Danio rerio: one gene and its partners. The protein of the gene in region 5 interacts with the protein of the main gene of each other region in a pairwise test. Links are inferred from orthologs where the notes say so. Each region holds a gene or a part of one and is shown on either strand. Other genes may lie near its edges. The genes, in order: rnf115a, epn1a, hip1, tax1bp1a, dazap2, ror2 and pogzb.

Evidence for each region.
Region 1: the proteins of dazap2 (region 5) and rnf115a interact in binary tests that used the Homo sapiens proteins (3 or more experiments, as listed by UniProt). The two-hybrid records come from large-scale screens. The link is inferred for Danio rerio from reciprocal best matches to the Homo sapiens genes DAZAP2 and RNF115.
Region 2: the proteins of dazap2 (region 5) and epn1a interact in binary tests that used the Homo sapiens proteins (3 or more experiments, as listed by UniProt). The two-hybrid records come from large-scale screens. The link is inferred for Danio rerio from reciprocal best matches to the Homo sapiens genes DAZAP2 and EPN1.
Region 3: the proteins of dazap2 (region 5) and hip1 interact in binary tests that used the Homo sapiens proteins (3 or more experiments, as listed by UniProt). The two-hybrid records come from large-scale screens. The link is inferred for Danio rerio from reciprocal best matches to the Homo sapiens genes DAZAP2 and HIP1.
Region 4: the proteins of dazap2 (region 5) and tax1bp1a interact in binary tests that used the Homo sapiens proteins (3 or more experiments, as listed by UniProt). The two-hybrid records come from large-scale screens. The link is inferred for Danio rerio from reciprocal best matches to the Homo sapiens genes DAZAP2 and TAX1BP1.
Region 6: the proteins of dazap2 (region 5) and ror2 interact in binary tests that used the Homo sapiens proteins (3 or more experiments, as listed by UniProt). The two-hybrid records come from large-scale screens. The link is inferred for Danio rerio from reciprocal best matches to the Homo sapiens genes DAZAP2 and ROR2.
Region 7: the proteins of dazap2 (region 5) and pogzb interact in binary tests that used the Homo sapiens proteins (3 or more experiments, as listed by UniProt). The two-hybrid records come from large-scale screens. The link is inferred for Danio rerio from reciprocal best matches to the Homo sapiens genes DAZAP2 and POGZ.

The regions. Positions count from the first base shown.
Region 1 is NC_133191.1:14,582,083-14,586,121, reverse strand, and holds part of rnf115a (E3 ubiquitin-protein ligase RNF115), read left to right. Parts: coding exon 1-102; intron 103-1,481; coding exon 1,482-1,550; intron 1,551-1,979; exon of another isoform or gene 1,980-2,133; coding exon 2,134-2,206; exon of another isoform or gene 2,207-2,960; intron 2,961-3,147; exon of another isoform or gene 3,148-3,302; intron 3,303-4,039. UniProt on the Homo sapiens protein: E3 ubiquitin-protein ligase that catalyzes the 'Lys-48'- and/or 'Lys-63'-linked polyubiquitination of various substrates and thereby plays a role in a number of signaling pathways including autophagy, innate immunity, cell proliferation and cell death.
Region 2 is NC_133191.1:13,093,801-13,098,304, forward strand, and holds the start of epn1a (epsin-1), read left to right. Parts: upstream 1-1,469; 5' UTR 1,470-1,517; exon of another isoform or gene 1,518-1,856; intron 1,857-4,504. UniProt on the Homo sapiens protein: Binds to membranes enriched in phosphatidylinositol 4,5-bisphosphate (PtdIns(4,5)P2). Modifies membrane curvature and facilitates the formation of clathrin-coated invaginations. Regulates receptor-mediated endocytosis.
Region 3 is NC_133190.1:19,452,940-19,457,666, reverse strand, and holds the start of hip1 (huntingtin-interacting protein 1), read left to right. Parts: upstream 1-1,870; 5' UTR 1,871-2,107; coding exon 2,108-2,227; intron 2,228-4,727. UniProt on the Homo sapiens protein: Plays a role in clathrin-mediated endocytosis and trafficking. Involved in regulating AMPA receptor trafficking in the central nervous system in an NMDA-dependent manner. Regulates presynaptic nerve terminal activity.
Region 4 is NC_133194.1:21,851,625-21,855,663, reverse strand, and holds part of tax1bp1a (tax1-binding protein 1 homolog A), read left to right. Parts: intron 1-3,008; coding exon 3,009-3,111; intron 3,112-4,039.
Region 5 is NC_133198.1:36,683,458-36,687,496, reverse strand, and holds part of dazap2 (DAZ-associated protein 2), read right to left. Parts: coding exon 3,877-4,039; intron 2,926-3,876; exon of another isoform or gene 2,122-2,925; intron 1,917-2,121; exon of another isoform or gene 1,347-1,916; intron 945-1,346; coding exon 816-944; 3' UTR 1-815. UniProt on the Homo sapiens protein: In unstressed cells, promotes SIAH1-mediated polyubiquitination and degradation of the serine/threonine-protein kinase HIPK2, probably by acting as a loading factor that potentiates complex formation between HIPK2 and ubiquitin ligase SIAH1.
Region 6 is NC_133185.1:5,739,297-5,744,094, reverse strand, and holds the start of ror2 (tyrosine-protein kinase transmembrane receptor ROR2), read right to left. Parts: upstream 2,884-4,798; 5' UTR 2,656-2,883; coding exon 2,562-2,655; intron 1-2,561. UniProt on the Homo sapiens protein: Tyrosine-protein kinase receptor which may be involved in the early formation of the chondrocytes. It seems to be required for cartilage and growth plate development. Phosphorylates YWHAB, leading to induction of osteogenesis and bone formation.
Region 7 is NC_133191.1:42,522,722-42,527,295, forward strand, and holds the start of pogzb (uncharacterized protein LOC561483), read left to right. Parts: upstream 1-1,586; 5' UTR 1,587-1,647; exon of another isoform or gene 1,648-1,960; intron 1,961-2,136; 5' UTR 2,137-2,202; intron 2,203-2,343; 5' UTR 2,344-2,347; coding exon 2,348-2,453; intron 2,454-2,619; coding exon 2,620-2,736; intron 2,737-3,848; coding exon 3,849-4,021; intron 4,022-4,119; coding exon 4,120-4,219; intron 4,220-4,301; coding exon 4,302-4,547; intron 4,548-4,574. Other genes in the region: si:dkey-23o4.6 (retinol dehydrogenase 12), read right to left, coding at 341-431. UniProt on the Homo sapiens protein: Plays a role in mitotic cell cycle progression and is involved in kinetochore assembly and mitotic sister chromatid cohesion.

The DNA of each region.
Region 1 (4,039 bases), on a different chromosome or scaffold from region 5:
GGGAGAGCACTGGGGTCCAGGTCGTCCTCCTCGTCTGCACACTCAAAGGAGATACAGATCCAGAGGAAGCAGTCGACCGGATCGCTCGCCCGCTGTTGAGGGGTATGTTAAACAATTTTTACTTGTTCTAGATTCCTGAAATGTGGATTTGTTTTTGTTCTCTTAAGAGACGGTTTGAAAATTGCATCCACTGATTTAATGTTTATGGTTATAAATTTTATCATGGTGGAATAATACCTGAAAATGTTAAAAAATAAAGTCACAAATACTCAAAGAGATGGAATAATTCAAATTCTGTGCTTACACTTATTCAAAATGAATGACTTTTCTTCTGTTGAACACAAAATAAGATATTTTGAGGAATGCTGGTAATTTTTTCAAAGATTTCCTGGATTTAAACATTTTTTTTAAGTTAAGCTGTAGTGTCTGTAGTGTATGTGTGTGAATGAGAATGGATGGGTGTGATGGATTGCGGGTGGAAGGGCACCCGCTGCCTAAAACATATGCTGGATAAGTTGGTGGTTCATTCTGCTGTGGCAACCCCGATTAATAAAAGGACTTAGCCAAATATAGCCAAATATATTTAGAAAAAGCATAAAAATATTTATGCAGTAATGTTGCATTGTAAATGCACCATTGAGCTTCATTAAACATTCTGTTTAAATACTGATGAACAAGCACATTACAAGGCTCGTTGTCAAGCTTTTTTAATAAGAAATGCCTTTTGTCTTCTATTGACAATGATAGTTTTGCATGCTGCTTGTGTGTATCATGCACCTCACGTTTTAACTGAGCTCAACCTCGTCACTTTTTTTTTCTCTTTCGTTGTCCAATAGAATGAACTGAGATGTGGGCTATCAATTGTGACAGAACAGCTGATTCAGTGGTTGCCTAATAACATGAAGTAACACAGCACACTGCAGCATGCCTCTTGTATTCAAAGCTGAAAATACATGTTCTGTGTAAAGGCCATAAAGATGCTGTGTTCAGTTTTTGGCTTCAAATTTCATATACAATAATCTTAATAGAAAATCAATCAAAAGGTGTCTGTTATTTACTTAGTGTGCATTGGGCACTTAATGCTGTATATTATAAATGTCTAGAATATTGCATTTAGATTTCTTCAGTAATTATGAAATAAACCTAAAATTAGTGGCATTATTATGAACACATAAAAATGAAAAACAAAACTTGTAATAAAATAACCAGTAATTTTAGGCCTCATGTAGTATTTCTGTAGGTAGCATATTTGTTCTGTTGAATCTCTGGTTTTAGCAGCATGCAGGACACAGTAAAACAGTTTTGTTCCTCAAAAAATGTGGATGACCAAATGTGTAGTGCTTAACATTGCTGCCAATATATGCATGCACTGGATGAGTCAGCTGACAACCCCTGAAATATCAATACAAAAATGAAGGAAGTTGGCAGAATTCCCCAGAGCCAATATCAGTTCCTCACCGATGTCTCCTCTCTCCTTCTAGAATCGTACAGCAGTTTCTCGCAGGCCTTTTTGCCAATTCAGGAGTACCAGGCTCTCCTCCAGTGTCATGGTAAAGAATACTTTAATATATGGTTGAAAATGCTCAGTTTCTCTGTATTTATGTTTTTTTCTGTTTTATTCTGTAAACTACTGATGACATTTTTCCCATATTTAAATGTTTTTATTTAGAGCATTTTTACATAAAATAATAAGGATGCTGTGTTTTTAAACGTTTTCTATTTTTTTTTTTTTTTTGTAAAATAACACATTTTAACCAAAGAGGTGGTAAGAAATCAATGAGTATTGGATTGGAACCCTTGTTTTCAATCACAACAAATTAAAACATATCTGTATTCTCATTTTGTTGAAATGATATACAAGTCTCTCTGTATATAATTTAAATATCTGTTATGTATAATTTGAACAAAATTATATGTGTGTATATATCATTGGACATTTTAAGTGGATCAAAAAATTGTATATTGTCCTTAGACTAGAATGAGTGTTCAAATGACATTTTTATTACAACTTGTGATGAAAGATTTTGATAAACTTCAAATGTTGACTACTACTTTATATATAATGAGTGTAAAACCAATTATCTTTTAAATTAATGATAAGTTCATGGTTACAACTTGATATTTGTATGTTAGGACGAGCATGCTGCACTCAAACCCCGGGGACTATGCGTGGGGCCAGGGCGGTCTGGATGCAGTCATCACACAGGTAGTGGAACAGCAAAGTGTGTGTGTGTGTGTGTGTGTGTGTGTGTGTGCATTAGGGCTGCACAATATTGGAAAATGTTATTTATTCATTTTCAACCACTTTTCTGGGGCCGGGTCGCAGGGGCAGCAGTCTTAGGAGAGAACCCCAGACCTCCCTCTCCACAGACACTTCCTTTAGCTCCTCTGAGGCGATCCCGAGGCATTCCTCCTGGTGGGACATGCCTGGAACACTAGGTAAAATCTAGGAGGCATCAGAAACAGATGCCCAAGCCACCTCAGCTGACTTCTCTCTGTGGAGGAGCAGCGGCTCTTCTATCTATGAGGGTGCGCTCTGCCACCCTGCAAAGGAAACTCATTTTGGCTGTATCTGAGATCTTGTCCTTTCAGTCCTAACCCAAAGCTCACGACCATAGGTGAGAGTAGGAACGTAGATTGACTGGTAAATCCCACAGACCGGTACCACAACGGACTGGTACATCGACCGCATTAATGCTGCTGCTGCACCAATCCCCAGTCAATCTCACGATCCATCCTTCCCTTACTCGTTAACAAAACCCCAAGATACTTGAACTCCTCCACCTGCTGTAAAGACTTTCCTCCAACCCGGAGATGGCAAATCACCTTTTTCCTGTGGAGCACCATAGCCTTGGACTTGGAGGTGCTGATTCTCATCCCAGCCACGTCACACTCTGCAGCAAACCGGCACAGTGCATGCTGAAGGTCCATGTTCGATGAAGCCAACAGAATGACATCGTCTGCAAAAAACAGAGATGAGAAAATTCTTGCGCTTTGAAATTCTGTCCATAAAAATTATGAACAAAATTTGTGACATAGGGCAATCCTGCCGGAGTCCAACAAGTTTGACTTATTGCCGGCAATGCGAACCAGACTTATACTCTGTTCATACAGGGATAAGACAGCACTTAACAGAGCATCTCTGACCTCATACTCTCAGAGCACCCTCCACAGAATACCATGAGCGACATGGTCGAATGCCTTCTCTGAGTCCACAAAACACAAGTGGACTGGTTGGGTATACTCCCATGAACCCTCGAGCACCCTGCTGAGGGTATAGAGCTGGTCCAGTGTACCACAGCCTGGGCGAAAACCGCATTGTTACTCCTGAATCCTAGGATTCCAGAAATGTTAACATTTCTATATATATATTAGGGATGCTCAAAATAATCGATTAACCGTTAATCGAAAGGGTGTGTTTGTGACCGATTAATGCTATCAGTTAAACTATTAAAATTATTATTTTATATATTTTTTAGTTTGACTGCATAAGGGGCCGATTGAATGCGCCTTTGCGTTAAGAGGGGCATCTTTTGCACGCGGCTCATCCCAGAGCAGCAGTTTGTGTTGTCAAGACAACTACATAGAACTTTTAAAGAGCATGGTTTCCGCTACATTCATTCTTCCATGGCGGAAACCAAAATGCATCCCTCCACGGCTACATTCACATTCAAAACATTCAGTTATTGTTGTTGTTGTTGTTTTTAATAGCGGATTATAATCGCATCAAAACATATTAAAAGGTAGATTATAACAGCGCAAACGTTTTTATAACCGTATAGTGTTGTGCGCTATTGTTTAATCCTTTGGGGTTACGTGCTGACTGACTGACTGACAGGTGCGCGATGCGTGAGGCCAGCAAACACGCAGAAGCTTTCAGTTAAGATGAACACAGTTTCTATAGTTATACTTTATTTAAAGATAAAGTATGACTCTGTATATAATCATTCTATCTTGCTGGAGTTTATAGCCATTTCGCTTTACTTCAGGACGCATTAATGCCGCTCTGAAGGTCTATTCGCTGTTTTAAGTTATCCAG
Region 2 (4,504 bases), on a different chromosome or scaffold from region 5:
GCCCCTATGTGGCTACTTCATGAAATAGCATCACATTATAAATTTAGGAAAGAAAATACCAGGGAAATACTTGTCATCTCCTCATAACTCACCCGCTTGTATAGGTGAACATGACGCCCGGTTTTATCTGCCGAGTTAATACCGCACTCAGGACTGCTGTCACGGCTTCAGTCAACTCTTCTTCAGTACTAACTTACTACGACACCAAAACCGTGCAATTATATTGGTTTGGATGAATATAAAAATCATGATGCAAGATTTTGTCATTGTTGTTAAAATATTCTAGCACTGCTGCTTCAAAAATAAATAAATAATTAAATAAATAGATGAAAAGTAAGGAAAGAAAAACAAAAAGAAGAAAGAATGATGGAAAAGAGTTTAAATGACAATTTTGGTTAACCTATAACTTAATTTATAACCTATAACTTAATTTAAACTTAATTTATAATTTTGAAGACTAAAATCTATACAAAATTCTACATTATTTCCTAGAACTTTACTAATTTCTGAGGGCACTGCTTACAATTATGACAATTATGGTGCCAGATCAGTCTCAAAAACTACATTCATTCATTTTTTTTCGGCTTAGTCCCTTTATTAATTCGGCATCGCCACAGCGGAATGAACCGCCAACTTATCCAGCACGTTTTTACGCAGCGGTTGCCCTTCCAGCCACAATCCATCTCTGGGAAGCATCCACACACACACTCATACTACGGACAATTAAGCCTAATTCACCGCATGTCTTTGGACTGTGGGGGAAACAGGAGCACCAGGAAGTAACCCAGGCGATCACAGGAAGAACATGCAAACTCCACACAGAAACGCCAACTGCCCCACCCGAGGCTCGAACCAGTGACCCAGTGACCTTCTTGCTGTGAGTCGACAGCACTACCTTCTGCACTACTGCGTCGCCTCAAAAATTACAATTAAATTAAATTACAAAATCCAATTTCATACGTCACACATATATTCACCAAATGAATTGGATTTGTGTATTTTTGAACTGTGTTTTGAATATACAAATTGAATTTGTGTATTTACGAATCATGTTTTGAATTAACAAGTTGGAATTATGTATTTACGAATCGTGTTTTGAATTTACAAATTGGATTTGTATATATATTTTTTATTTACAAATTGCATTTGCGTATTTACTAATTGTGGCACGAATGAATCGTGTTTTGTGTAATTTTTTTTATCTTATTTTGAATTTACAAATTGGATTTTGCAAATGTGAATTGTGCTGTGCATGTAGGAATGATATTTTGTAAATGTATTATTTTTGAGACTGATCTGGCACCATATCTTCATTTACTCATTGACTCTGAAACATAAAACGAACTTTCTCACTTTTTTCAAGAAATGCACAAAAAGTAAAACTACCCAAACGTCGTATCGCCACGGCTTATGAATATTCAAATCAGGGAGCGCGCAAGGGGGCGCGGTCCGTCCGGCAGCGGGGAAACGGAAGCGGAAGTGCCGCCATCTCCTCGTACCATCCGAGCAACAGCAGGGTCAGTACAGACGATATTTGGGGAAGTATTGTAGTCTATTACGTTAGTACAAGCGGTTACATGACGCGTTATTTGTTTAAATGACGAACGCGACTCGAGGGGTGATAGTCGTGAAGGAAGAGCAGCGTCGCGTCACTCTGTCACGCACACGCGCGCGTCTCTTTATGAGTTGAGTTAGCATAGCGGCGCGCTCCCGTCTCTAAATGAGTGTTTTTAATTCAGCGCCGTGACAGAAACAGCAGCGCTTCGCTTTTCTGCCGTCTTCGCTGGTAAGAACCCGCTTTCTGGTGCTCGGCTAGATGTCTGGGCGTGTTTGAGAGGCACAACAGAAGCGCAACGGTAAGTAGCCTCCGCTAGCTGATCTCAAGTGCACTTGGTAGTGATCTCTTTCTATAAGTTTGAGCTACGGAGGGCTTGTTTTGAGCTGAAGTTGCTTTTTACGAGAGTTGATTGACTGTTAGGAATGATAGAATCACATTTGTTTGGTAGCAGGGTGGAGGTTTAGAAAGGTGTGTGTGTTGATTGATAGCTTACACTGGCATCTGTACAGGCAAAGATAAACTACACAGCACTTTAACAGATCTGGTGCTTCACCAACTGTCAGATTTCACACACTATCTAAAGCAACAGTTGTCTCTGTGAAGTTCATTGAATGTTGTTTATCTCCTTGTCAACTTGATTTGGAAACCACCTGTTGGCTCCCTGAATTCACTTTTTTTTTGGAGGTTGAAGTCAAGGTCCTTAATTGACAACAGTTCATTCAGACTTTTGTACTTTGCTCTTGGCATATTCAGAGAAGCTGGCTATGGGACTGTTATCAGGTCACAGCCTTATGCAAGAGTGCTGCATATTAATACACCCTATCATGAACTACAACTTATCACCTAGTCTTTGTCTTGATTGGCTGACACTCTTTACTGGATACATTTATAGTATGTTTGCCTAAATATAATGCGACCGTGATGTGGTCAAGGGTGAAAAGATCAGCTTATGTCAGTAACTGTTTTCTTCCTGTTTAGTGCTGTGTGTTTAACTTAATATTTACCATGTGAAGCCTGACATCTGAAATTGTAGTCAGTAAAAATTAACCAGTCTTTTAAGTTAGGATGGGTTATTGAAATTTGTACGAAATCCTGAAGATGTTTGCACAACTGTTAATGTTCAGTATTACATTAGAGAGGCCTATAAAGATCATTATTTTTTTGTGGTGAATATTACTTGTCAAACAAATATTTGTGATGAATGATTCCATTTGCTTTTATATTCGGCTTTTTATGTTGAAATGTTTTTAACCCTTTGACTGACCCTCCACCCAATAGTTGACCATGTTTTTACTGTTTTAAATAATGTCTGTATAAGTCATTTGAAGAATGAATGTTTTAAATATTGGTTCACACACACAGCATTGTTGGTTTTACAAAAGTCAAATACACATCCTGTTGCATTACTACACTTAATTGTGGTTTTATTGTTAGTTAACTTAAGTTATTTGTCGTTAAATGAGAATCTGAGATATTTTATGGCATACTTCAAAAAATAAAGATGATTTAGTATTGAAAAATGTTTGATTTTGATTATGTTTTTAAATAAATTGGTCTTACACTTCATATTTTCAAAATTTTCATAGTATCTGTATTAATTCCGGTACTTTTACCATATACCAATATATCTACCATTTTGTAGAGGCTGATATTTTATGAATTATGGGATGTGTTGAAATAAAATGCATTGACTGTGTTAACTAGCGACATTAGGAGTTAAGAAATACAATCCGGACATTTTTTTTCTTGCTAGGGGTAGTTAAAGGGTTAATTTTGTCTTGTAACGTATACCTTAATTTATGTAATTTAAAATACTAAAATCTAAATACTACAAAATTCTACATTATTTCCTAGAATTTTATTAATTTCTTAGCTAAAACGGTCTCAAAAATAAATTTACAAAATAAAATTCACACATCAACAACAGCATTATTTAATATTCTATTTTATATATTATCATTCAATGTTTTTAGATGTTTTTAATGCAGTAAAAAATGTTTTGAAAATTAAATATGATTTTTTTTATTTTACTTGTCAAACAAAAAGTTGTGATCAATGGTTTCAATGGCTTGTTTATATTTAATTTTTACTTTGAATTATCATAAAATATTTCTATGTGTTTTTAATGCAGTAAAAACAATATTCCAAAAAATAAATATGAATTTGTTCAGCTATAATCTTCAGCTCTCAACAAACCATAATAGAATTAGGGCTGCACAATCATTTCAGCATCGATATCGCAATGTGATCATTCGCAACAGTCACATCGCGAGTTTATGCAATGTAGAGTCTGAATTATAATTTCTAAGTGTTAATGTTTTGTGTTACATTTGAGATGCTTATCAAGATCATGATTTTTTGTGTTTGGTGAATATTACTTGTCAAACAAATGCAGTGTGTAATTTCTAATATTGTGCAGCCCTGAATGGAATGTTATGTAATATAAATTATATTATACTTAATAATATTATTATATGTGATGGAAGACCTGACTGAGTAGTATCTAATAGTAGTTATGTTCTGCCTCCACAGAAATAAAATAAGCATCTTCTCATCATGTAATTAACTGTTTAAAGACTAATAATCTTTGAAAACATGAACGTTAACTGTAAAAAATGGAGTGTTTTTAATCATAAATGCTCTATAAATGCTCTTTAACATATGCTAATCTGTTTAAAATTCATTTATTATTATTAATCATTAATTGCAACAGTCCTACTATTTGTTACATCAGGCATTTATTGATTATACATGATATATTGAGGTGGTGAAAAATCTTAAGGCTGGGCAAAACAATAGACTGTGATTAATCATTAGATATTTTTATGTAGATTCTCAAAAGCTTTGAATGAGTTTTTATTCCTATAATCCATATTTGGACTGCTCATACATTCAAAATACAAAGATGGACTCAATTGTAGATAGGGCTGCTCAAAATATCACAAA
Region 3 (4,727 bases), on a different chromosome or scaffold from region 5:
TGCATCTTGTGCTGACAGCAGAGAAGATAATGATCAGTCAGGGCACAGACCAAAATGACTTCACACCGTCATTCTACTGAATCATTAAAACAAAACTCTGACTCTGCCATCTGATAGAATTTGCTTTGCAGGGAAATTGAATCTGGCCTCTGCCCATCAGAGAGAGAACAAAGATAGAGACTGCAGATGCCTACGCTATCTAATATAGTTATGCAAGCGGAGTCAGCAGACAATACAAGTTTGACAGTCACATGTGTTGATAAAGTAATAATGAGATTTACTGGTGCAGTGAACAAATGAGAAAAGAGAGAAATCAAGTACAAATTGTTGGCATCTGTGTGGAGTTTGCATGTTCTCCCTGCGTTTGCATGGGTGCTCCGCATTATAATCTTGTAACTCAACAGAAATAATGTACAGTACAGAATATAAAGTCATGGTGCCTTGAAAAAATAATTAATATAGTGTATGACTCCCATGAGCTTGGAGGACTACACCCATACATCTCTGCAATGAATCGAATAACTTATTAATAAAGTCATCTGGAATGGCAAAGAAAGCGTTCTTGCAGGACTCCCAGAGTTCATCAAGATTCTTTGGATTCATCCTCAATGCCTTCTCCTTCATCTTACTTACCCCAGACATGCTCAATAATGTTACGATTTATTAATTTTACGAATGTTAATGCTCAAAAATATACAATTTATTTGTGTGTGTGTATATTTCTATATATATATATATATATATATATATATATATATATATATATATATATATATATATATATATATATATATATATATTGTACATATATAAGAAAATAATATATATAGATTAATTGTATATATATGTACATATATATATATATATATATATATATATATATATATATATATATATATATATATATATATATATATATATATAGATTAATCGTATTTTTATGATGAATCATCTGCATCAACTGCATCACAATCATCACAAATACTGCATAAGACCTGTTTAAGCCCACATCTATCCAAGATTCTCAAAGAAATCAGTCAAGTTTGGTGAAGGAAAGATCATGGTTTGAGGTTACATAGCCGCATACGAGAGATCTGCAGAGTGGATGGCAACATCAGCAGCCTGAGTTATCAAGACATTTGTGCTGCCCATTACATTTCAAACCACAGGAGAGGGCAAATTCTTCAGCCTATTTATACACACACACATATTATTATTTGCATATTCGTCATGTATTTACATTTTTTAAAGTTGGTGTTGTTTCAATATGATCTCAGACTCAACAATTTTGTAAAAAATCTTAATTAATATTATTTTATATTACATATTATTACACTTAGGCCTACATATTGTTGCAATGTGTATGTGTATGTGGTTTTTGTTTTTTGCTGTTTCAATAGAAAAATTGATAATGAAAGCAGGCCTATTAAAAATCAAACTGGCAAATATGTGTGGAAAACACATCTACTAATTGATCAATTATGGAACTACGTAACATTGTGGAAATAGAAACTGTAAATGCGAATTAAATTGTTATTGTAGATGCTTTTTATATGTTATCTATACAGTTACTGTAATTATTTGTATATAGGCCTATGTTTGGTTGTTTCACTATGAACAAAAATGTTGTACAAAAAACCCTATATCTAACTGTTTATTCTTTTATTTTTCGTTGTAGAAAATCACGGGGAAAAACATAGAACCCGGAAAATACAGACTTTGTTTAAGCGTCAAGATAACTGTTTTTCAGGGCGGGAGCTGATGATTTTTCTCCAGTCGGTGTGTGTCAGCGCTGGGCGGAGCCTGTGACAGCCGCCGCCGCTATAGTCTGCTGGAGTGGATGTGTATACCGTCGCTCGCGCGCACTGACGCGCTGTTTTCTCTTGCAGATCTGTGATTGCGCGCACAGACGCGTGTTTTGCGCGCTCGCGAGCGGACAGCGGAATAGCGCTGGAATGATATCTATGGGCGGTGGACGAGGAAAATGACCTTTTGTGATAACGACGAGGACTTGAGGTTTTCGTGCTCAACGCTAGAGTCAACACACTATTTATGTTGATTTAGGAAGTCTTGGTCGCTCGCGCAGCTTGGACTTTTCTTTCCAGAAATGGACCGCGTCAAGAGTTCAATGCAGCAAGTCCCAAACCCGATCCCCAAAGTGCTCAGCCGTCGCGCTGGCGGTGCCAACAGTTTGGAAGTTGAAAAGGAAAACTTCGAGCGCAATCAGGTGAGGAACAGTAAACACAACCGGACAAGTTTTTTCATGTAGTCAGTGCATCGCCAGCGAGCTGTTTATATGGCAAGCCAAATTAACATATATTCATTTAAAATAACCACTATCAGTTTTAGCTTTAGCAAGTAGTAAAGCATCCATTCTGACAGCTTTTAGATACTACCATGTGTTCCTTCTCTGCATCCGTTACCGTCTTGGTTTGAACTGGTCAGAGCTTTATTCTTCAATTAAAATATTATTATTGTTAGTGTTTTTTTTTTGTTCTTTTTGTTTTTACTAATAAACTAAAATAAAGCTATTGTAATGTTATTTTATTGCTAGCAGTTCAAGTAATGCTAAGTAATGAATTGTCTTCCAGAAACTGCTAGTCGAAAGAGAATTAATTATTAATTAAAATGTTTTTATTTGTTTATTTTACATGTGCTATTTATTATTATTATATATATATATATATATATATATATATATATATATATATATATATATATATATATAACTATTAACTATACAGGTAGTGTAGTCAATGCTAACTGGATTGAACACACTGTCAAAACAGTAAAAACAAAAATAATTTAAGAAACATGAGAAGTGTTTCATTTCATTCAATGCATTTGCAGTTACTTTGTAGTTGCTTGTGCAATTTCTCAGTGAAAATAGTTATTAAGTTAAAGAACCTTTTACACTACGCCATTTTCAGCTGAAAATTGATAACCTTAAGTTTTTTTTGGTTCATTAACACGACAGCTGTGATTTGTGGGCCTGAGAATAAAAAAATGTATTAAAAAGAACGTCATCAACTACAAAAACATGATTTGTGGAAAAATGGTGATAACACACATATGCACATTGTTCACTCTAAAATCATGTGTGATTAATTGACAATAGAGTTTTCAGTAACCTGGATGAACCACTTCCGGTGAACTGTATGCAGATATAAAATCAGCATATTTAAGGTCTATTTTCTTTAAAAATCAACGATTTTCACTGCCTGATTGATATACAATATAAAGTGGGTGTCCAAATTTACAAGACGCACTGCATTAAATGATGTTTTCCCCTGTAATGTCTTTAAAATATGAAAATACATTCCACATTATTACTTTTTCAATGAAGCTAAACTTGACAGTAGTATATTTAACTGATTAGATTTTAATTGCATTACAACATTAATGCTGTAAAAGGAACCGTATAAAAATTTTAAAAAAGACACAATAACTGCTCACCGAAAGTTTATCGATGTGGGAAGAAACACTAGCTGTGCATATACCCTATAAAAACAACAATGTCTGAAAACAGGGCCATAAAAGTGCAGGTGCATGGGTGTCTTTAGAAAGTGACATCACCACCTACTGGCCTGGAGTATGTTTCACAGTTCAGTGTGAACAGGGATCCTTTTGACAGCATTGTTGTCTAATCATGAAGCTTTGCAAACACATGCATGAATTGCTTTCAAATAAATACTACTGGAAATAGAAAAGCCTCTAAATTTTCACTGTTGAATTACTATTAATCAAAAGCAAGTATTGTAATATAAAAGGACGTATTAAAGAAATACATGTTAAACAGCTTGCCATATCTGACAGCAATAAGACATGGCTGTGAGCTAAAACAAAGTGCATGATGATACAAATCAAACGGTCAGAAATTGCAATATTTTGTATTTAACCCATCATTAAAATCAATCTAGCCTTCATTATCATTCTGTCTGATGTGACATGCTGTTGTATAGTGTATTATAGGGCTTACTAGTTAGCGTGTGGTTTGTCCAAACCATAAAATGAATGTTTATTTGCAATATACAAGCGTCATAATGATAACTGATGACCTTTTAAATTCAGCTAAAGTTCAGTGCACTTTTGATCACGTCGCACCTTCAATTTTATCAGTGTCATTGATTAAGAACGAGAACAAAGTTCTTCCTGCTGCTCTCTCTTTATTATAGGTTAATATTCGCTCCGTAATGCCTTACGTTATGGAATTTCTATGCATTATAAGAGTGCAACTGACTCCTTAATATAGGAACATCCTCTGTGACAGCGTCTTGTGTTTCCAAGCTGATGCCCATGAATCGAGCAAGCCTAAAAGCTTTTAGTGACTCAGAGATGCAGTGGGCAGAGCCCTGATGGTCATGCATTCTGGTCCGTGCCATCAGCCTATAATGTATCTCCGTGCATCTTCAGTCTTTTAGATCTTGTTGACCGTAATGCACAGCCATTGAATTATGCAGTCAGGTTCTGGGTGCTGGAACCTGAAAGTGTGTTGTGAAGTATAAAGAAATGCGTTCTCATTGTTTGCGCACTCTTCTTCTCTCCTCTACGGGGGTCTCAACCCCCCCCCCCCCTCTCCCATCCAGACACAGGCATCAGGAAAAGTAGGTCAGATGAATGAAGCTGCCGCCGACTGCCCTACTGCTGGGTTTGGGAGTGTTTGAAAACAGCACGACCTCCTTCTTGCCCACATTTCTTCAGACGTTTTTTTGTTTTTTTTTGCAGCG
Region 4 (4,039 bases), on a different chromosome or scaffold from region 5:
AAATCAACCAGATCTTTCCATACAACATTTAGAGTGGTGGGTAAAGGGGAAAATTGGATAGGGGGAAAATAGTTAATCTGCTCAATATCACTCTTGTTTTGATGGTTAGTTTATGGAACAAGAGGGTTGTGGCTTGAATCTGTCTGTGTATGTGTTCCCATGTGTGTTTTGTTGGATGTTGTGGGCTTTTCTTATGACAACTGAATCCTTCCCCATGGCTTCATTCATTCGTTAATTCATTCATTAATTCATTTTGCGATAGGATTTAGCGTTACATCAAATCTCTCTTAAATTGTGTAATACATAAAAATATAATTGTAGCGAGACTTTAATGTTACACTAATCTAAACGAGTGGGTCAACTTTAATAATATATATAGTTGAAGTCAGAATTATTAAACCCCTGAATTATTAGCTCCCCTGTTAGTTTTTCCCCCAATTTCTGTGTAACAGAGAGAAGACTTTTTCAACACATTTCTAAACATTAGTTTTAATAAGTCATTTCTAATAACTGATTTATTTGATCTTTGCCATAATGACAGTGAATAATATTTTATTAAATATCTTTTAAGATGCTTCTATACAGCTTAAAGGGACATTTAATCTTAGACTTAACTAAGTCATTAGGTTAACTAGGTAGGTTAGGGTAATTTGGCAAGTTATTGTATAACTATGGTTTGTTCTGTAGACTATCAAAATATATTTATAAATAATTAAATATATATATATATATATATATATATATATATATATATATATATATATATATATATATATATAGCTTAAAGGGGCTAATAATATTGACCTTAAAATGGTGTTTAAAAATCTAAAACTGCTTTTATTCTAGCTGAAATAAAACAAATAAGACTTTCTCCAGAAAAAAAAAAAAAAAAATTATAAGACATACTGTGAAAATTTCCTTTCTCTGTTAAACATCATTTGGGAAAGATTTAAAAAAAAAAAAAAGTTAAAGGGCGGCTAATAAATGTGATTTCAGCTGTATATGGAGTCATATTTAAATAATCAATGAGGTTATGGGGGAATTATTCCTCAGGCACTCAAAAATATTTAACGCACACACCTTTATTTGTGTAATCCCATTTATTGCTTTATGAACCACAGGCTCCCTCTGGTGGCAATGAGAAAGTACTTTTTCAGTGAATTGCATAATTTAGAGATAAGAGATTACTGCTAACATTTTCTAACACTTTCTATCTATCTATCTATCTATCTATCTATCTATCTATCTATCTATCTATCTATCTATCTATCTATCTATCTATCTATCTGTCTGTCTGTCTGTCTGTCTGTCTGTCTGTCTGTCTGTCTGTCTGTCTGTCTGTCTGTCTGTCTGTCTGTCTGTCTGTCTGTCTGTCTGTCTGTTTGTTTGTCCTAACTAGATCAGTAGATCGAACGATAGATAGAATGGTAGATAGATATTACTAAACTAATTAATCTATCAAAATATTTAATGAATAAATATAAAAATAAAACTATTAAATTATTAAATGCAGTGATACTAAAATGGCACAGGTACAGATGTTTTTTACTCACCTGAAATAATAAATGAAATGCTTTTATTCAAAATGCCACTGGTTAATAGAAGATTATCTGTTTATCACTTTATTGTTCAACAAATGTTTAGCTCTTTCCTAGAGATGGGTTCAGCTGGAAGGGCATTCGCTGCGTAAAACTTATGCTAGTTAAGTTGGCGGTTCATTCCACTGTGGTGACCCCAGATTAATAAAGGGACTAAGCCGAAAAGAAAATGAATGAAATGGTATTTCCAGCTTGGACACAGTCTATGTTGTGGTTGAAAAATCTTCTCTTTACATTTGATAGGCTGAACAAACATAGTATTCTTTATCAAGGAGAATGTTGAGGCACGTCGAAAACAGCCTTCCTTTAAGCAATACTACAATGCAGTGTAATCATGCATACACATGCATACTGTAGGTTTAAGCACAGAAACACACACTTGGGTACCATATAATTAACTTGTCGTGCACATGCCGAACATGTCCTTATGCACCTGATTTATAGTGAAGTCAGCCCTCTTATTATTTAATTTATCATTTAACAGTCCTGTATGTACAAGTATGGTTGTTTGAAACACACCAGAATACCTTCTCTCTCACTCTCTCCTCTTGCTCTCCTCTTCTCTGTAATTAATAGGTGATTTCTTCACAAACAACTCTGTGTCAGATGAAAGCAGAGTACTTTCCGTAAAAAAAAGGAATTACAGATGTGATATATAGTAATCAAAGTAAATGTTAGGTAGTGTTGTGAAAAATCACAAAGACAAATTGCTGACTGACTGTGTGTGTGTGTGTGAGTGTGTGTGTGTAGTTTTTAACTGTATGACGTAACTGTATGTGACACTACATTACATACTGTACTTGTTTTTGTCATATTTCATTTAAAACTGCATAAAAAGACATATAATCACTAATTTGTACAATGTACGGACAAAAAAAGAGTGGTTATGGAAGTGAAAATTTTACACTAGCTTCAAAGGCAGAATGGATGAAATTCACATGCGCACACGCTTTTCAGAGTAACCACACAATTTCTGTCGCCTTTGAAGCAAGTGTAAAATTTTCACCTTTTCCCGGTCCTTTTTTCCATTACGCCGGCTTTTTCCAGCCGTATATACCCACACACTGCACCCTCTTTTCGAAACTGGCTATGACTTACAGATGTCATGTTTTTTTTTTTTTTGCAGCTAAGTCTTTTCTCTTCTCTTTGTCTTATTGTGATTCCTATTCATTACCTGTGAAATTGATACAACATAAATTAATAGAACTTTCTGTTTAAATTATTGATAGTTTGTAACGTTGCTGTATTTTTGCCTAGGAGTTCCTTCTGTAGTCACAGTTTTTTTATTGTTTCACGTGAGTTGTTATGGTCATACTAAAATAGTCTCTTTTTTTTTCTTTTTACGGTAACCCTTTTCATAGGCCTTCATTGGTCAATTCACATTAACATTGTGTGTGTTGTGTGTGTTAGGTGGGCTGGAGCAGTGCAAGAGACTACTACACGTTTCTCTGGTCTCCCATGCCTGAAAACTACACAGAGGGATCCACTGTTCACCGAACTATCATTTTTCAGGGTATATACATAAACACATACACTCACACACATAAAATCACCACATATACCCGATGCAGTATGCAACAACAATTAGGGTAAGAAATTATTTTATACCTCTATATACACAGTTGAAGTCAAAATTATTAGCCCCCCTTTGAATAATTTTTTTTTTTTTATTCCCCAAATGATGTGTAGTAGAGCAGGGAAATTTTTACTGTATGTCTGATAATATTTTTTCTTCTGGAGAAAGTCTTATTTGTTTTATTTTGGCTAGAATAAAAGCAGTTTTTATTTTTTTAACACAATTTTAAGGATGAACTTATTAGCCCCTTTAAGCAATTTTTTTTTAATACTCTACAGAACAAACCATCGTTATACAATAGCTTACCTAATTCCCCCAACCTGCCTAGTTAACATAATTAACCTAGTTAAGCCTTTTAATGTCACTTTAAGCTGTATAAAAGTATCTTGAAAAATATCTAGTCAAATATTATTTACTGTCATTAGGCAAAGATAAAATAAATCAGTTATTAGAAATGAGGTATTAAAGCTGTTCTATTTAATAATGTGTTGTCAAAATCTTCTCTCCGTTAAACAGAAATTGGAGTAAAAAATAAACAGGGGGGGCTAATAATTCAGGGGGTAAATAATTCTGACTTCAACTATATATATATATATATGTTATGTAAATTACATATTTTTTAAAGTAATATTTTTAATAGGAAGCTAAGCTATACAATATTATATTTGTCCATAAACATTAGAATAGTCAGTACTGAAGCCAAATCTGGAGCTTATCCAACAAAATAACTTACGATGACAGTCCAAAAAATAGTACATCCAGTTATAGAAAATGTTAAAAACAAATTTAAAAAAGAGGACAAATCAAGAGAAGTAAAAATTTAGTTGCAATTTTGTATGTTGTATTTTATTTAATTTTTTTTGCT
Region 5 (4,039 bases):
AGGAGGGAAAATATTGAAGAAACCACAAAAAAAAAAAGAAAGAAATCCAACTTTTCTGAACCGGTTTTGTTGATCTTGTTCGCACTCTCTTGTACTGCATTTAGGTTCATTCATATTTAAATTCCTTAGCTTTTAAATAATGGTGCAATTTTGGCACCTGATAACATTTATATAAGCTTGCCCAAAGGTACAATACACCACTGTTGTTGTTGTTTCAGTTTGTAAACACATCTTTCTCTTTGATTTAGACGGCTTAAATTCGCATTTGACATATCTGGCAAGACCGTAATAATGATATGAATGAGCATGGATAAGCGTACTATTCAAAGAGAAAGGTTTGAGTGCATAGCTACTTTACACAGATGATCAAACTGACCGGGCAGTTTTCTTGGCATGATCTCTGGCTCTAAAACCAAAACAAAAGTAGTACTGTTAAAAAAAATGAAGCTGCAAGAGGTATGCCAGTTCCGCTAAAGGTAAAAATGACCTGGTTTTCACCTTAAAAGTCGTCTTCCCTCTATAACCAATAATTAAACGACACGTATGAGCAAACCTACAATTACCATGCGCTTTTTTAATTGTGAATACGCATTACACATTATATAATTGCAATATTACACAATCATATCAACAGTGGCGCATTGTACCTCGAGTAAGGGGCTCTAAAATATTACATTCCATTAGATTAAATCAGTATTGTGGCTTAGCCAAGCAGCCCCAAAGGAGGCAGGGGGGTGGGAGAACAGGTAAAGGGAACCAGGGGGTGGGGAGGAAGGAAGGAGGGCTTCGGTCCAGGCCCAGAGGGGTGTTCACTGTTACCAGATGGTGTAACCACCGCTGGAGCCACCCATGAAAAAGTTGCCCTTGCGCTGTGTCATCACGACATTTGCACCCTGCATGGCTGCCATCTGAGCCGCGTTAGGGAGGTGTCCGGGAGGTGGAGGCTTCAAAAGAGAGAAAAAGATGGACATTTTATATACACAATTCATTTTCAGTCACATACATGCCAGGGGAAAAGGTCATAGCAGTGCATTTGCATCTATTTGTCTCAGTTGTGCAAAATACAGTTTTCATGGATTTCTAAAATTGTCCATTTTGGATGGTAGACTTTGAGAGGTGACATTTTCAAGGTAGACCGAAACCAGCAAAATTCATAAGACCTTCAAATAGAGCCAGTGTTTCTCAACCACGTTCCTGGAGGACCACCATCTCTGCACATTTTCCATGTAACCAAACACACCTGAATCAGATCATCAGCTCATTAGCAGAGACTGAAATACCTGTAATAGATGTGACAGAGAAAGGAGACATCCAAAACGTAGTGTTGGTGAGCCTCCAGGAACATGGTTGAGAAACACTGAAACACACTGAACCAGGAATTTTCAATTTACTGATTTAATGATGACTAAAATGGCTAGAAAAGTGGAATACATCACTTTGTACCAAACTAATCTGTAAACACGTTTGGCATAGCCCCTTCTTTCAATTCTATTATGAAATTATAGTAGGAGATTGCAGATTTGTTCTATTTTGTCACTCAATTTTTAACACTGACATTTGTCAAACATTCATCAGAAATAGTCAATAAATTTAGCATTCACTTCAAATGAATACTAATTAATGATCAGTTGACGCCCTACAGGTTGAAAGCTTCTTGCATATCACGATTTCACTTTTTTATAGGACTCAAAATGTGGGAAATCATACTATTATTATGGCTAACATTAATGTAATGTATGTAAAAGTAATAATTGTACAACTTATATTTACATAATGATATAATCAACTGATAACAGGTCAATATAATACATTCCATGATTTCACACCTTAAGTAATAATAAAAAAATTTAAAAAACGAGTACCGATTCTGATGCTTCAAGCTTTATAATGCATAAAGCACAGCATTTCACCTCCAAGTATGTTACAAGTATGAGAGCTCTCCTAAGAGCAGGGGTGTCCAAAGTCGGTCCTGGAGGGCTGGTGTCCTGCTGACTTTAGCTCCAACATGCTTCAACACACCTGCCTGGAAGTTTCTACTATACCTTGCAAGAGCTTGATTAGCTTGTTCAGGTGTGTTTGATTAGGGTTGGAGCTATACTCTCCAGGACACCGGCCCTCCAGGACCGAGTGTGGACACCCCTGCCGAAGAGAATAAATAAAGGATGTTGCACATATAACCCTAAACATGTCTCTTATAGCCGTTTAGTGTGAACATGTCAAGGCCAGAAGCAGCTTCATAGAAAAATAATAGATAAAAAAAATTGTTAAGAAAATTGACTATCAAAACAATGCAAATGACGGAAGAATTCAACACCTCTCAACGAAGAAAGGTTTGGAGTGCATATTTGATGCATAAGTTAAAATGCACACCTATAATTCTATACATCTCTAAAGGTCTAAAAACATGGAATATTTCATATTGATTTTATCTGAAGTCACGATATCAGCAGCTTACACTCATTTGTGGCAAACCTTCATGTCGTTTTCGGGTCAAATCTGACCGATTTACAATTTAAAACACTCATAAAAATTGTGTTTTACATCTGATTGCCTCGAGGCTTTATGATATCCTTCACACTATGTACTTGAACATATAGTGATGATCCCCTCTTTCATTTTCATTCAATTTTGAGTGTTTTAATCAATTTTGTTACACCTGTGGTGTTCCTGGTCAAAAGTAACCGCCATATGAAATGAATGGGTCTTCAGATTGGATTCATCTATCAGATAGAAAACACCCACCCCATCTCAATCACTTACTCACTCACACACTTATTTTAGACTGATTTTTGTTTTGTTTTTGTGAGCTCATTTAAGAGCAGTTAGAAGCAGAATGGTCAATTTTGACCAGGAACACAACAGTAGGGTTAAAAGTATCTACTTTTTTATAGTGCAGTATTTAAATGTAAAGTGTTTATGTTTTAATCCAACCTCTTCTTTTTTGATTTAATTGCAAGTGTAAAAGATGTCATTTTCTAAATTGTTGACATGTTAAATTGTACATCATGCTTTGTCAAATGCCTCAAGATATCAAAACTTACACCTGTGACTAGTAGTAAAATTCAAAATCTCGAGAGAAAGTTATGAATTCATTGCCATATCAGCTTCATTTTAGAAATTTCACTTTTCTATAATACACAAACAATAAAAAGGACATCACAGTAATAAATAATAATAAAATAATTTTAAAAAATTAGATTTAAAAAAATCATTTTGAGATTTACTTTTGATAAAAATTCTAGTATTTTTTGAAGGATTCCCATTTAAAAATATTCCCTTTAAAGTCTCGCCACATATTTTATTTATTTATTGCCACATCAGCAATTTGTGGCAATTTCATGGCAAAGTCAATATACATAAAAACATCATATAGGACTTGATACACAAACAAATATATAAATAAATACAATTCACAATAACTGTTTATTAAAAGTTAAATATGATTTTATAAATAACTTCATCATGATGAAACTTTTTATTGAACATCTTTCAAAGTGTTTTCTTTATAAAATCTTGTCCTTAAACATTCACAATCTAATATGATGTGTTTTATGGTGAGAGCAGCTTGACAGTAATTACATGTTGGTGGAGATAAAAATAAGGATAAAAATCATTGACTGATAAAATTAAAAATAAAGCATTTCCATAGTATGTTTTAAATTATCCTTTGAGTAAATGTCTATGAGTGAGTCCTGAGCGTCTGATATGGCATCTTGTGTAAACAACCTCATCATGTCTTTTCATGTCATTCAGATTTCTTCAGATTTCTAAAAGTTTTCATCATTGTGACCCTCAAGCATAAACTGAGCTTGACTAATATAATGGAAATCTCATTTGGCTGATAAAACACATCATGTTTAGGGGACATATACTCACCGGAATGGAACTACCAGTGCCAGGCCCGAAGCGAGCTCCAGCATCAAATCCACCATCCACCATGACAGTGGAGCCAGGAGGGTACACGGGCCCCATCGGATAATACGCCATCGGGACACTAGAAGCCATGGCCCCCATTGGCACAGTCTGGGCATGCATGGGC
Region 6 (4,798 bases), on a different chromosome or scaffold from region 5:
TTAGTCCATCATCCGGGTAATTAAAGTGCACTGATGATTTTTTGACTTTTCAGTGTGAACACACTACTTACACTATTTATACTACAAAATGGTGTAAAATAGTGCACAAGCATGCGATTTGGGACGCAGCATATGTGTCTGGACAGATACAGTCCTGTAGTTCACCACTGCTGTTTTGGCTGTCAAATTCTTGCACTCAAGTAAAGAGCAAACGCATGCTGATGATGAGGTCACCACTTCCTCAAAGTCCCGTTTTTTATGGTTTACGATGAGAGTTTTTAAAATCCCGCACTTGAAACCCCTTTTCAAAAGTCCCCCTGTATTCAAGCCCCCAAAATGCCACTGTCAAGTAAATGAACATCCACAACATAAAATAAAAAAAACTTCGTTGAAAATGTTAGGTAAAGACAAAAAAAGAGTAGTAAATTGTCATTTGTTAATATTTGCAAAAGCTGTGATTTTTCCAATTGACTCTCCTTTGTCTAGCCTTTTTTTAATGCAAAATAAAAACAATCAACAGCGTATTCAAGTTTAAAGTACACTGTAAAAAAAGCAGTGCTGCACACAATTCATTAAGTTAATGATTAAGTTAACTTAACAAATTGAAGTGGATTGAACGCATAACGGTTAGGTTATCGATAGAAAATCTCAAGAATTGTGTTGTTTAAGCTCATTTTAAATAAGCAGCAAACATTTGAGTGTAAAACAATGTAGTTGTGCTCAAACACATGTGTGCTGCACCAAAAAAAAAAAAAAAACTCTGACCAATAAGCAAGAATGAGTCATGTGACGTTCATCCGTGGACACCTAAACGATGAGCTCAACTCTTCCGCCATAGCAGACGGGCCCATAATCTCAAGTGCCTAAAGCTTTAACAGTGGGTGATAAAGTTTGTTGGAGAGCCACCATTTTAGCCCCAACCCCCCGTTTAATCCTCATAGCAAATGGCTAAAAAAGAGCACATTCAAAACAGGAAATTTCAACATCTGTCACCCTCCTATAGCACCCTGCAGGGAGGGAAACGAATTAGCAAGAAATCATTCTCAAAATATGCATCTGATTATCAACAAACAAACAAATCTGGTCAAATTAAATGCGAAAGATCACAGTGTAGATTTACATTTAGAGAACTGAGATTAAGTGTTTTATGTTTAATGTTAACACGGGGTGTATGCGTGTAACCTGAAGGGTTTATGACATCATTGACCCGAATGTATTTTTTGCAGTCTCAAACTTCATTCTCTGTAGATTTGCTAAGCTATCTCTGTAAGAGCCAATGTCTCACTTTGCATTGAGGTTTGAGCGTCTTACATTCAGAGATGTTGTTTATGTTCACACAGCTACGTTACACACATCAACTAAAGTTTAAAAAATTATATTTTAGTAAACCACCCTTTTAAGGAGAAAGTGCAAATTTATGAATATAAGTCCAATTTTACCTCAATGAGAACTGATCAAATGAACTGAATCCACTTCTGTTGCAGTGTGAATACTAGTGTATTCATTGAATAGTCATATTTAGATGAAACACTCTCCCGTTCTTAAAATAAATAAATAAATAAATATTTACCTGAATGATGTTTAAACACAAACCTCAATTAATGAAAAGCATTAATACTTTACACTCGTTTCAATGTGAACGTCAATGTGAACTCTCATTTATAGGCCACGTATAAACGCTCTCACAACTCCAAAAAGATGGACAGAAAAGAAAAATGAATTTTAACTTAAATGAAAATGATCTGTTGTGAAATAAATGAGAAATCATCTTGATTGGGAAAAAAGTAATAACTTTTAGATTGAACATCAGAGAGTGAAGGCTTAGTTATTATACTGTATAGGAGTATGATAATGAATCCTCTCACATTAGCAAAAACACATTTTAAAAAAGAAGACGGCTTTTACATATAAATCTCTTTAATCATGTTGGTTTTAAAAGATTTAATGAGCAAAACAGTTCGGTTTTAATGTGCACATCTGTGTTAAAATTGAGGTAAAGTTGGATTTATATCCTCACATTTGTTCAGTGACATGCACCCTACATTATTCACCGTGGTACTTTGAAAATTCGGTCTGAAATCTCATGCAAGTCAAGTAGGCAATGACTTGAAAATAACATTAGCAATATTTATTTGCCTGTGAACAAAGTTGTACTTTGATAGTCATTGGCTGCTAATATGATTTCACTATTTTTGTATTAAGGAGAAAATCCAAATGTGTGAATATAAAACCAACTTTACCTCAGTCGTGTGAAATATTTCGCTGTAACAATTAAACACTGTTTCAAAAACACTGAACTAGAAAGCTAAATTTCTAGATTCATATTTAGGTTATCCATCATAATAAATCCTCTCATGTTTTTAAACAATAATAAACAAAAGTACAAATATTTTAGCGTGAATTCAAATACATTCATTTATTTACAAATATATAGCTCTAAATTAAGGTGAAACTCAATTTTAGCGGTGCTTGAAGTTATTTCTGTGAGCATAAAACAACCAAACATTTAAAACGCGTTTAAATAAAGCTCAGATAATCACAAATTGGTGTAAAATCCTTACCTGCATATGCAAAAGTTGCAAAGAAGATGAATGTGGCCACCAGATGAGCTCCAGTTGTAATCCTCAATATATGATACATCCTTACAGGGAACATTCCTCTGATGCAGCTGGATTTGGGAATCAGTGTAACAACTTCCAAACTCTCCACAAGTGATAACTGAGTGAGTGTGTGCGTGCGGACGAAACGCGCTTCCCCCAAAGTCTCAAGTGTGCACTGAATGAAACTCTTTTTGGTGGTTCGTTTGCAAAACAAAAACGCGTTTCATCCCGCTCAGCCGTAAAGGTGTTCGTCGACCGCCGTTGATCCCGTTCAAGTGTTCCCAAACGTATCCTAATAGGAAAAGTGAGCAAGTAACTCCAACTCCTCGTGACGTAGGAAGGATACATCCCAAGGGAGGGAAACGAATTTGCGAATCCTACTACGACGAAGGCGGAGCTCATGAATGTGTAATAAAGTCATTTTACATTCAATTAGCTAAGCCCGGGTGTCCAAACTCGGTCCTGGAGGGCTGGTGTCCTGCAGATTTTAGCTCCAACTTGCCTCAACTCACTTGCAATGATGTTTCTAGAAAGCATAGTAAGAGCTTGATTATCTAGCCCAGGTGTGTTTGATTGGGGTTGGAAATAAACTTTGCAGGACACCGGCCCTCGGACACTCCTGAGCTAAGCTAAATGCAAACGTTGATTGGCTCATGAATATTAATGAGGTCACGTGTCACAACGCTACAGGAAAGTAAGCGTGAGTTTCTTACCATAGTAGGTTTAGTAACTCAAAGTTTTTGATATCCTTGAAAAAACACGACACCTACTGGGGAAGAGACTCTTGGAAAAGGTAGATTTATTCTGTCTGGCCATGTTAAATTGATCAAAATTGATGCTATGTTTTGTTCTGATTCGTGCGGTTCATCTTTAAATCACGGCGAAAAATTTGCACCCACAAAAATACTAAGCAGGAAAACTGTTTTCTGTTCACTGACAAGAAATTAATTCATTTTCTTTTCAGCATAATCTGGGGTCGCCACAGCAAAATGAACCGCCAACTTAAAACCGGGAAATATCCATACACTCTCATTCACACACATACACAACAGACAATTTAGCCTACCCAATTTACCTGTACTGATGTCTTTGAACTTTTTGAGGTGAACAGAAACACCCGCAGGAATCACGGGGAGAACATGCAAACTCCACACAGAAATGACAACTGACCCAGCCAAGGCTCGAACCAGCAATCTGCTTACTGTGAGGCGAGCGTGCTACCCACTGCACCTTACAGACTGGGAATTAGTTATATAAAAATGTGTATATTTGAATATGAATAAAGACTCGAAGAAGAAAATCCCCTCAGATGTATTCAGAGGCCAAAACTAAACAAAACTCTGCAGTTTGATATTTATAATAATTTTATTAGACTAACATCAAATGCAAATTAATAAATTGATGCAATGCTATAAACTGATGCTTAAGAAATAAGTTTGAGATATTTAATTTTTATTCACATTGACATGGTTTTAGTATGCTTGAATAATCAATAAAAAACCTAAGTTGCTTCATTTGCAAATATGTTAATTGTATTGATATAAAAGCTATTTTAGATCTACCATCTTAAAATCAGCGATTAAATTAGAAGTATCGTTAATTTTTTAGTTTTTAATTTACTAAAAAGGATTAAACAGTGGATTGTACACAACAGAGACAAATTTTAATAATTCTTTTTTTTATATAGATTTTGTATGATTTTTATGATTCATGTGATGTTTTTATCTCATGAATAAACAATTTTTTTTATTATTTTCCAGGGGTGACGCTTTGGCACAATAGTGCTGTCGCCTCACAGCAAGAAGGTCGCTGGTTCGATCCTCAGCTAGGTTTGTGTGTAGTTTGCATGTTCTCCCCGTGTTCGAGTGGGTTTCCTCTGGGTGCTGCTCAGGTTTCCCTCACAAGTCCCAAGACATGCAGTATAGGTGAACTGGGTAAGCTAAAACTGTCAGTAGTGTATGTGTGTGAATGAGAGTGTATGGATGTATACCAGTGATGGGTTGCAGCTGGAAGGCCATCCGCTACGTAAAAACATAAGCTGGATAAGTTGGTGGTTCATTCTGCTGTGGCGACCCCAAATTAATAAAAGTACTAAGCCTTTTCATTCATTCAAAGAAAATTAATGTGTTATTTTCCAGTAGAAGATAAATATTTAAAAATGTCATAACATTTTAAAACATTACGTTTTTTACTGGATT
Region 7 (4,574 bases), on a different chromosome or scaffold from region 5:
TACTTGCATTAAAAATGTGTTACAAACTTACAGAAAAACATGATTAACTCCAATTTACTAAAATAAAGTATTATTAAATAATAATTATAATATTTATATTTGTATAAATGTAAAACTATAGTTGGTTTGCATAAAATGAACACTGATTTAAATATAAAATAATGAAATATTCATTAATTGTTGTAGTGCATGCATTTAATGCCATTAAAGATTTAATTAATTAATTAACATTTCAGGGCCTTAAATTGTGATGCAGTAGAAGTTTTGGGACCAGACCCATTTTTTATATTAAAATAAGATTATAATAAAACTTCTGAAAGTACTAAAAAACGTTACTCACTGATCACCAGCAGCGCGAGGACAGCGCCATAGTTCACTCCGTCAGATGATGTGCCCGGATCCTTCATCTCGCATGCAGAAGTAAACAACATGAAGAAAACACGCTCACGTTGTGTCCTCTCTGTGCACAATGCTATATATAGGGCTTGACTTAAGCAACTTAAACAGAAGCTTACCTGCTCTGCGCTTCGACTGGTTATGAAACGTTTATTATGAAACGTTTATCTCGGCACAATTAAGAAATGATTAGTTGTCAGATTGTAGCTTAAATTTAGTAGGATATTCAGGGCATATTCTACTTATATAAATGGTAAAACTTCTATTGTGCTGTGGATATTTTGAATTAAAGAATGCAGCTTTAATTTACATTCGATGTCTTTATGATAACTTTCAGACTTTCTGATTCATAATGTACAATTAACTAAAGCAATCGGTTTAAACCAGTCGTTACTTCGACTATATATATATATATATATATATATATATATATATATATATATATATATATATATATATATATATATATATATATATATATATATATATAGTCGAACAAACGATTGTGTGTGTATGGACTGAACTTTTGAATGTTTTTGATTCACTAAAAGAACCGAGTCATAAGAGTCGTTTGATTTTGAATCGGACCAGTGGTCCTGCCTGATTCGTGCTGTGTTCTCGGTTGTTCTGAAAAGTGCGGTGAACTCTGCAGTGTGCTGTTCTGTCCACATTGGCGGATGAACCCGCGTTCAGAGCCATAATGAAACCGGATGTCGTGATCGGTTCCAGAATTTTTTTAAACTGAACGTTTTCTAAAAAATTACACTTATTTCATTTATCAGTGCATTGTGCATACCAGGGCTAAAATATGAATATTTAAGCAAATAATTTTATATAATAGATATTTTGTGTGAGCAATTTTTCAAAATCATAAATTGATTTAAGAAAAGACAGTTTGTGATGGTTTTGACAGGTCCTCCTCAAAATACTAACAGTGTGTTGAATAATTAAATCATTTCTTTATTAAACCAGCAGTTGGCTAGACCGTATAAAATGTTGTCGTTTGTCGAGAAGGACGCCATTTTCTTGTTCCAGTAACCACTCCTCCTTATTTCAGAGATTACAGCCAATCAGCGTTGCGAATTCAAAACAGGAAGTGGCGTTTTGAGCGTATCAACCAATCGCAGCAGGAGAAAAAACAGAACCTCTGCCCATTTAGCGCATTTATTCGTCTCGTCTGTGACGTACCGGCAGGCTTTGTGTTCTTTCAATATATCACGTTGAATATATTTCTATATAGACTATAATCTGGTAAGTATTTTTTTTACAAATACGCGCTTTAATTCACGCGTTAGATGGCCGTCTTTCGTTATGTGCGCGGAGGACAGTATGCGGAGTGCGCACTCAGTAGGCGACGCGCGAGGGGTTGCTGCATTATTTGTGACTGAGTTTTTGTGATAGACACAGCGCTGAGTCCTGTTCCGACCCAGTTTGTATTTCAGCCCTATTTTCTGTTATTGTACACACATCCAAGGCTCATGCTTTTGCTTCTATCAGTCAGATCATCTGGTCTCAGCCAGTGCATATCGGTGACCAGGAACTACTTTTCTCTTCGCCCCTGTCGGTTAGATGAAATCACACTTTTTTGGGAGATTTTTAGGAAGTGATGCGGCAGCGCTCTGAATATCCGATGTTAACCCCATTAATGCAGGATTTTTTTTTGTTTGTTTTAAATGTATATAAATACAAAATGTACTACTATTCATGTTTTATTCATATACTTATTTGTATAATTTACAGGATGAAGGGATTTTGTAAACGCCAGTCTTGACGTTAAAACTGGTCGGACCCGATTCCTGTCAGAAGGTGAGGGTCTTCAGTTCAAAAATATTTTTCACTTGTCTAATTTAAAATGAAACATGTTTTTGATTTATGAATACATAATGCACCAATTGTCATTTGTACCCTCACAGTTTGTAGATTTTAAACACGTTTACTTTCTTTCAGAAACATGGATTCGGATTTGTTTATGGAGTGTGAGGAGGAGGAGCTGGAGCCATGGCAACAGCAGTCTATGGATGAACCAGCCGGAAATGCTGAAAGCAGTACTCCCTCCGGTGTGTATTTTTGTAATATTTTTAATTATAGAGAAATTTAACATAGTTTTTAATTATCTTCTTAACTTTTGTTAATTATAGATATTCCAGAAATATATATATTTTACTTTAATAATAATTTTAACATCATTATAACATCTGAAACTTGTCGTCCTCCAATGTTAAGTCACTTCCACTCCAGCCCCGGTGGTTGATGTTCCAGCTCCGCCTAAGACCATGGTGATCCCAAGCCTAACGTCTGTAGTAAATGCGGCGAACACGGTTCCGCTGATCACAAATACAAGTGAGTCTCCTTTTCTTTAATAATTATTTACTCATTCACATGATGCTCCAGAACACAAATTAAGTTAGGAAGAATCACCTGTTTGTTTAATTTAAGAGAAGCAAACTGGGGATAGAGTTCAGACACTTCAAAATAACAACAAAAAAGACTTGTTTTAAAGAAATGCAAATGACAAAAAAACACAATTCTTTTAATTATGAGTTAAATGAAGAATAAAATTGTTTTTTATGATTTGTGTGCTATATACTCACCTGCCACTTTATTAGGTACACCTTACTAGTACCGAGTTGGACTCCCTTTTGCCCTCAGAACTGCCTTAATCCTTCATGGCATAGATTCATCAAGGTACTGGAAATATTCCTCAGAGATTTTGGTCCATATTGACATGATAACATCACACAGTTGCTGCAGATTTGTCGGCTGCACATTCATGATGCGAATCTCCTGTTCCACCACATCCCAAAGGTGCTCTATTGGATTGAAATCTGGTGACTGTGGAGGCCATTTAAGTACAATGAACTCATTGTTCAAGGATTCAGTTTGAGATGATTCGCGCTTTATGACGTGGCACATTATCCTGCTGGAAGTAGCCACCAGAAGATGGTTGTGTGTGAAAATCCTGGTAGATCAGCAGTTTCTAAAATACTCAGACCAGCCCGTCTGGCACAAACAACCATGACACGTTCAAAGTCACTAAATTCACCTTTTTATTCCCCATTCTGATGCTCGGTTTGAAGTGTAGCAGATCGTCTTGACCATGTCTACATGCCTAAATGCAATGAGTTTCTGCCATGTGATTGGCTGATTAGAAATTTGTGTTATCGAGCAGTTGGACAGATGTACGTAATAAAGTGGCCAGCGAGTGTTTATTGCAATTGTTTTAAAATCATTAAAATCATCAAAATTCGAACTTTTGCAAACCGTTTTCTAATGTTTTCTCATATTTTCTCAAAATTTGTAGCGAATAGAAACTTTTCAGTACATTGTTGTTGTGTAAATATCCTTAGAAGGGGAGCGCAAAAGTCATATCAACTACTAAAGTAGTAGATGGATGCAGTCTTGTTGACATTCAGCCTGCATTACTCTTGGTGATCAGTCATTTATTTTTTCAGTAACTCAACGTGCGGTTGTGCCGACTGAGATCCCTAAAGCAGTGCAAGGGCAGCCGGTCATCTTGGCACCAGGAGGAGGTGGACTGGGCACTGTGGCTCTGTCACAGGTTCTCCTGCCTGGAACATCTATTGCCAATGTTACCAACAGTCAGCCGATCTACTTTACCACACAGGTGCTGCCATTTCACCATATAGATTCCAGCACATCACTCAACAAAAGCACATTGTCTCAACAAGTGTTCATCTATGTGCGTCCTTTCATCTGATACAGGGTCTTCCTGTCCAGAATATCCAGCCTGGCCAGGGTCCAATGAGTTTAGTGCTGAATGTCCAACAAGGCCAAACTGTTCGACCGATTACTCTACTCCAGGGTATGTCAGTGTGCTCTTGTTATGGTCTTACGCTATAGTTCTGTGCATTAATTAACAGTGTTTTCTTTATGTCTTTTTTAAGCACCTGGCACACAAATTTTCAAACCAGCCATCGGAGCAACCCAAATAATTACCCAGCCTGCTCAAATAAGGGCTGGAGCTCCGGTTGTAAACAGAGCCCAAACGCCTAGTACTTTCAGCACAGTGCAGATCCCTGCTACTCTCACTTTTCGAACCACAAACGCGGTCACCCCAACAGCTGCCAGTTCTCTACCCATCGTATCTTCTACAACCATTACTCAGCCTACCAGGACCACTACTAAAATAGGTAAGAATAAGAATTTAATTGAACTTT